2 linked regions of the Yarrowia lipolytica genome follow. The protein of the gene in region 1 interacts with the protein of each later gene in a pairwise test. Links are inferred from orthologs where the notes say so. Each region holds a gene or a part of one and is shown in the gene's direction. Other genes may lie near its edges.

The links. The genes of interacting proteins can lie anywhere in the genome.
Region 2: the proteins of YALI1_E22126g (region 1) and YALI1_C33353g interact in a two-hybrid assay, tested with the Saccharomyces cerevisiae proteins (2 studies listed by BioGRID). The link is inferred for Yarrowia lipolytica from reciprocal best matches to the Saccharomyces cerevisiae genes CDC37 and CAK1.

What each region holds. Positions count from the first base shown.
Region 1 is NC_090774.1:2,210,867-2,214,684, forward strand, and holds YALI1_E22126g (uncharacterized protein), read left to right. Parts: upstream 1-1,769; coding exon 1,770-3,179; downstream 3,180-3,818. Other genes in the region: YALI1_E22111g (uncharacterized protein), read right to left, coding at 1-260; YALI1_E22117g (uncharacterized protein), read left to right, coding at 834-1,379. UniProt on the Saccharomyces cerevisiae protein: Co-chaperone that binds to numerous kinases and promotes their interaction with the Hsp90 complex, resulting in stabilization and promotion of their activity.
Region 2 is NC_090772.1:3,333,877-3,337,268, reverse strand, and holds YALI1_C33353g (uncharacterized protein), read left to right. Parts: upstream 1-1,893; coding exon 1,894-2,892; downstream 2,893-3,392. Other genes in the region: YALI1_C33406g (uncharacterized protein), read left to right, coding at 1-332; YALI1_C33354g (uncharacterized protein), read right to left, coding at 415-1,788; YALI1_C33332g (uncharacterized protein), read right to left, coding at 3,022-3,392.

The sequences.
Region 1 (3,818 bases):
ATGATGACCGACGTTGACGCGTACGAGCTAACAATGTAGACCACGTGGATGGTGAACTTGGACTCGGGCTTGAGCCAGAACTCGAGGTTTTGCTGCAGAGTGTCGGCAAACGGAGGGGCAGACTGAATCGTGGCCGTGGCTGTCTGGGCCGTGATAGACGAGAGTGTGGGGGTGATCTGGGCGGAGTCTGAGACCAGCGTTTCGGTCGCCGCCACCCCGAGGTCGCCCCCCACCCACTGCACAAATTCCAGAATGTCCATATAGACCAGAGTCGTTGGTGTGGGGATGGTCTGTTGGAGTCAGTCGCACACAGCTCTACTGCTAGTCGGAAATTCAATTAATTAACTCGGAAGGTGGGAGGATATGTTGGGGTGCTTTATCGGTTGCTTTATCGGGGAGAGAGAAACGCGATTAGACCACCCCTCTGGGTGGGTTTATATTTCGAAAAAATATCCAAAATTCGCGGAAACGACTCTTCTATATTACTGGATATTTTTCTCTATTTTAAGTATTTTTCAACCCCCCCAAACACCCCCCTACTGTTCACCCACCCACCCCCGCCGCTCGGCTTATCTCCCTAACTTGCTAACCCTATTTGCCCATAGTGAGCAGGTCTCTACTGGTATGCCAACTACGGACCAACTAGGGACTTTTCAGACTTGTCAGACATGTGATAGTTGCGCTATGGTGGATTATAAACGACAAAAAACAAGACCTTCTCACATGATGACCGCCCATCAACATCCACAAACTCACGGCTGACTTCCATCAACTCTCTTGGAATCAAACTCTCCCTCATCACCTCCCCCAGTCGCCCTTCTCCAGATACCACCATGCCCGCAAGTGGAGAATTCACCTGGCAACTCACAGGAAACGTGGCCATCAACACGCTCTTCTCGGCCGCTTTCCCCGTCTTCACAGCCATCTACGCCATCCGCGGACTCAAGCAGGGCGCCATTGAGACCGCGAGCAAGTCCGAAGCCCGTCTGGCCAAAAAACTCGACATTGACGCAGAAACTCTGTACGAAAACTACTCACCGCTCATTCTCATCGGATACCCAATCTTTGCCGTCAATCTGCAGCCGCTGGGAACTCTGGCTCTTCTCTGGAGCCGAACCACCGGCCTCATTGACCATCTCTCTGATCAGCAGCTGGAAAATGCGCTCAGCACATGGTCCAAGTTCTCACAAGTCTACACCTGGGCAACTGGAGGCATATGCGTGGCAGCCCTGGGAATCTGGTCTCGACGACGTCAGCAGCGACGTAGCAAGCAGGTGACCAAGAAGATGCCTCTTTTGGGCGCTCCCGAGATTTCTCTGCTGCTCTTCTCGGCTATTTTCCTGCCCGTTGTTAGTCAGCCCATTGAGGTGTTCCCTTGATTACTATAGAGCGATGATAACATTGCTGTCCAAAATGTTGATGTTATTTATATGATATGAATACTGGAGACGAGACTGGCTGCCTACGTACAGTACATACTCGTCAACTATTAGGCCAAGTAACAATAACGTTCAAGTAGAGTGTTCTGGAAGAACCTGGAAAGGGGGTGGTATTGGGCGCAATTGATAAGAAAGGAGCGGTTTTTTCGTTTGAAATCGCATCTTCCAGTCTCAATTATCCGTCTCACGTGCTCATTTATCCAGTTATCTTTCTCGTACCCCTTTTTCTATGCATCTACCTCAAACCTCTCCACGTGACACTGCCCTACAGCAAACCATATATATATACTGTATACTTGATCCCCATCTCAACATCAGACACAAACAAGAATGGTGCTGGATTACTCGAAATGGGACAAGATTGAACTGTCGGACGACTCGGACGTGGAGGTGCATCCCAACGTGGACAAGAAATCGTTCATCCGATGGAAGCAACGAGACATCCATGAGAAGAGAGATCGAAATAAGATGGAGATTGCGTCGCTGGAGCTCACCATGAAGATCGATGTGGAGCTGGTGGAGCGTCTGGACAAGCTGCTTAGTCTGCCTCAGGCGCAGCTGGCCAAAGACTCCATTGAGGAGCTGCTGGTCAAGTCCAAAGAGGGTCTCAAGGCCAAAGATACCCCCACCGCGCCCAATCCCCAGAAAGAAGGGGAGCAGATGAACTGTGACGACATGCTGGAGAGTCTTCTGGACATGATCAAACCCGACGTGGATACCGACAACGGCGCCACCTTCTACGACAAGCTGAAGGAACATAGAGACAAGCTGGTGGACCACGACAAGAGCCACCGAGAGCGCCTAGCCGAGCTCTACGACGAAAAGGCAAAGTACATCACCTCCGAGGACGTGCACGATGTCTACAACTCTACAGTTTTGAACAAGACTGCAGAGCCCGATGCTGGAGAAGACGATCTGGCCGATCTGGAACGGCCCAAGAAGACCGAGACCACCATGGAGACTCTCAACAGTCCTGGACAGTCGACTTCTTCTGACGCTCCTGTTGAGAGCACGCTGGCCAAGGCTTCTGACGACACAGATGATGACTATTCTGATCCGTCTCCTGCTGCCCGCAAGTTTGCCGAGATTCCCGCTGATGATCTCAAGGAGTGCTACCGGTTTGTTTCGAAACACCCCGAGATTTGCACCGAGAAGGAGAAGGATGCGCTGGTTATGGAGGGGTTCCAACTGCAACTTGCCGGCAAGACTGCCGACATGGAGAGAACGGTTCACAATGCCATTTTATTGCAGTACTGTGCGCAGCTGGGCCCCAACGGCTACAGAAACTTCTTTGAGCGGATCCTGCAACCTCAGGGCCACCCCGCTCTCGAGGTGCTCAAGAAAGACGTGGCGTTCACCATCAACCATGTCAAGACGCGGTGCGAGATTCTCAAGAAGGAGAGCGAGGAGGAAAATGAGCAGATCCAGCTGCATGCCGTCGACCCCAACACGGAGATTGTGGTGAACCAGCCGCCCCAGGATGACGCGGACGCCATGAAGGTTTTTGGCGAGCTGTCGCCTGAGATGCAGAAGGCGGTCGAGTCCGGCAAGCTGGAGGAAATCAACAAGGTTCTGGCCAACTACTCGGTGGAAGATGCCGAGAAGGTGCTGCGAATGTTCGATGAATGCGGCATTCTCGCCGTGGAGGAAAAGATCTACGATGCAACCGAGTGGCAGAAGCAGAACAAGGACAAGGAGGTCCGGGATAACGTGGACCAGATTGTGCACAAGGAGGAGTGACCAGAGTCAAACTACAGTATGTACAAGCGCGGTACTTGTATGTACACGAGCACATAGGAATAAGATAGTCATACAGGAAAAAAGCAATTGTGAAACAAGCAATACCAGCTGTGCAGACGATACTGTGCGGGTGAAACATGTCTGCACGGTTTAATACTGTCTTAGTGCTTGTCCATGATGCAGGTTGGACAAGCCGATCGGCATAACTTGTAACAATGAAACGTATATGAGACTGCACCTTCCATGGGGGAACTGCACAGCGCACAAGACAACGTTTGAGACAGTAATGCAGCCTTCTCTCGATTGTTCCAGCTGCAATTTCCAAGTCCATTATCACGCCAGCAGGTACTTGTACAAGGGCGGGCTAGTTGATAGAATGAAGTCATGGACCAAGTCAAGCAACCTTTTGAACTTGTCGGATCAACTGGACCTTGCTATCACGTCGACAAATGTCTCTGAAAAGCTCCACAATGGGACCTTCAACACCCCTGACTGAGAATGTACCACACCAGCTGTACTTCAGCCTAATTCTTAGCTCTATGGCGCATAGTCAAGCTGAGACATCGAGTCCAAGACGCATTAACACAAGGTGGGCGCTATCTCTTCAATGTATGTACGAGGACATGAGCATATATCGCA
Region 2 (3,392 bases), on another chromosome or scaffold:
GGAAGTTTGATGATTTCTCCTGGGGTGACACTCGACAGGTTGCTGGTGAAAAGAAGGGCTCTGGAGGCCACGACGAGGAGGATGGTGAATTTGACTCGTCTCAGATTGTCATGAAGCGATGGAGAGACTTTGAAATGGACAAGCGACGCTACGTGCCACTGCCTCCCCAGAACGCGTGGATGAGCGATCCTCACATGCCTTCTTACAACCACCAAGGATTTTCTGCTAACTCTTCCCCTGCTCTTAGACCCCAGGGCTCTTCTCATGTCTACTCGGACTCGGTTGCCGGAGCCAGTGACTACAACGTTGCTCAAGGCCACGAAGTACTTTAAGGCGTCAAGCCAAAAGCATATATATAATCATGATAAAATTACCGTGTTAACGATGTGTAGCTAGAATCTGTATTGCAATAAATTAAAACGAATGCTGACCAGTAGCAATTCGGTGTAGGAGCTGGAGGGATCCTTGGATTCCAGCCTCAAAATGTCTGGTGAGATACGACCGGCTGTCCTTGGGGGAAATGAATATGGCCAGAATGACACTGGTGAGTCCGATACACAGAGAGAAGAAGAAGATACGTCGGATGGAAATGGACGACGACGAGTTTTTCTTAGAAAGCTTGTTCTGTTCCCGCTGCTGGTTGCGCTTGTCAATGAGTTTCTGGCGGGCCAAACGTTCGTTTTCCTCCCGCACTTCGGACTCCTTAATTTGTAACGAGAGGTATGAGCTAATCAGCGAGGGTGCTGTAGCGGAAGAAGACATGCTGTTAGACGACAGAATGGACTCTGACGGAGATTCAGCCTGGGGCGATTGCGCAGCTGTCGTCTTCAATACAGAGTAGTTTGACAGTTTATGCCAGGCCGGATAATTTTCCAGCATGGTTTTTGACGCTAGTTTCTGGGCTTTTTGGATACATCGAGACACGGTTTCCTGTTCTGTCTTGGGAAAGGTGTTTAGAACACAGTTGATGATGTCTATGTCTTCTGGGTCCAGGTTGCTGAGTTCATCCGATCTTAAAGACGTTAAGGATGCATAAATAAACAGAGGCGTTGCCATGGTCCCAGAAGCTAGAATGAAATCAAACAAGAGACAGACGGTGTCAAATTCGGGAATGTCGTGGGCAAACCAGGTCAGCACTGACGAGATACCGTACACCGGTCTCACCTCTTTGATTTGATCGCCAGTATGAGAGTCAAGCTCTGTGACCAGCGAGGGAATGAATTCCAAGTGGTCAAGGGTGTAACCCATGGAGGGCAGCATAAAGTCTCTGAGGTAGATGAGCGAGATCTTCTCCAGCACCTGGATGGACTGGTGCACGTCTTCCATGACCAGGTACACTACCTGGGCAATGTCGTGGTACCCCTGATAGTACCGTAGCTGGGGGTTGCGTCTGAGCACCGTGACAATGACTTTCGACAGATTCTGACGGGCTTCGGCGCATTTCTCATCGTCCTCAAACTTCGGATAGTAGACGAAACTTCGGTCGATGTCGAGTTGCACTTGTGTCTCGTCAGGGTGCGGGTCTTCTGGGGGATCGCTTCCTGTTACCGATGCCTCACTCAAAAGCAATGGCCAGGTTTGTTTTCGAAGCTTGGAGTTGAGCAGACCGCCCTTTGACTGTGCCAGTAGTTTGAGGAGAGACAGGTCGCCCAGGCTATATGCTGCTTCGACAGCCTTTTGTTTGGAGGAGCGCAGGTCGTCTGTGAGGGGTTCGCTGTCGCCGTAGTCGTAGACAGACGCACCAATTTGGCCGTCTACCCAGCTTTCTGTTACCGAGGTGAAGTCCATAGTGTGTGGTGGGTTATTGAGGGCTGTTGCCAACTTACTGTATACTGTGAACTTTGTCCCACATTGTCGCAAGGCTCGAACTGCAGGTTGTATGTATGGCACGCCATGATAGACGACGTCTTGCTTGGATGCACCACACTCGTTAAAATGAAAGAAATCGGCCGGGGTCTGTTCTCGAGAGTCTACGAAAAGAACAACCGGGCCCTTAAATGCATTCGACCTGGAGCACAACGGCCTCCCCACAATTTTGCCAGAGAATTAGCTATTCTTCAGGAAGTCAAAGGCCATCATCCCAACATTGTCTCCTTGCTGGACCACTATGAAGAGAGGGACCCGTTTGACTCTTCTGACGACGAGATGTGGGGCGACTCGGGCCAGGTGTTCACAAAACAACAGGTGCTGGTGTTCAACTACTACCCATACACCCTTGAGGATCTCGCCAAGGGTTATCACAAGGCTATCTTTCCAACACTCATTGAGCCTGGGGGGGACACCATGAGAAACAAGTTTCCGGAAGAAAAGGCGATCGAAATCATTACAGCAGTCGCAAGTGGTCTGGAATATATCCACCAAGAAGGCATCATCCACAGAGACATCAAACCAGAGAATATCATGTTCAAAACCAAGGACTCGGAGCCGGTGCTCATCGACTTTGGAGTGTCGTGGAAGGACGGGGGATCAGAAAAAGCAGACGAAAAAATCACAGACGTAGGAACAGGCGTCTGGAGAGCCCCAGAACTGCTGTTTGGAATCAGAGGCTACGACGACAAGGTCGATATCTGGTCCCTAGGATGCATATTAGCATATCTGCTGACTAGAAACGGGAAACCGTTCTTCTCCAACGAGGTACAAGATGGAGTGTCAGATCTGCGACTGGTGGCTGACATATTCGAAAAGTTGGGCACACCCTCCGCGAAAACATGGCCCGAGGTGGCTTGTGTACCTGCTTTTGAGAGCATGAACTTTTCCGAAACCCAGGGAAATGGACTGTCTCTGTTGCGAGGAACACAAAAGAGTAAAGACATACTGCAAGAGATGCTCAAGTACTCGGCTCACAAACGTGCTTCTGCTGCAGATGTCGTTGAGCTAAGCCGCACAAACTAAACTCACCTGTGCCAAACAATTTTGTCGTGGTACAATACCGGTATCGATAAAAAATCTCCCCTATATAGCTACACAAACCCATCTTGTCTTGGTGACTAGCGTGGTAGCTAGCCAATAAATGCATATAAATTAAGTAAACATCTCCTTGAAAAACTTGCCTCTCGATCTGGGCAATTTCTCCTTACATCCTGGAACAACACAGTGGTCAATCAGTGAGAATGGGGTGTCGACATATCGCCCTTTGAAATCTGTGATGCAATCGACGTTGATGTTGCTCTTGTCCTCCTTCTTTTGTCTACTAGTTCTTCTTCTCTTGATGAACTGGACACAAAGGCCACAGTAGACATGCCCACACTTGGTGAAGAACATGCGCTTGGAAAGCGTTCGTTCCACGTCTGTGAGGTCAGAAAACCGCGAGAACCGTTTCCTCTTCTTCGGGGATGATGATTTGCTCGGCTTCTTGGTCTCCGGAGGAATCCCGACTCCCAGATCGGAACGAC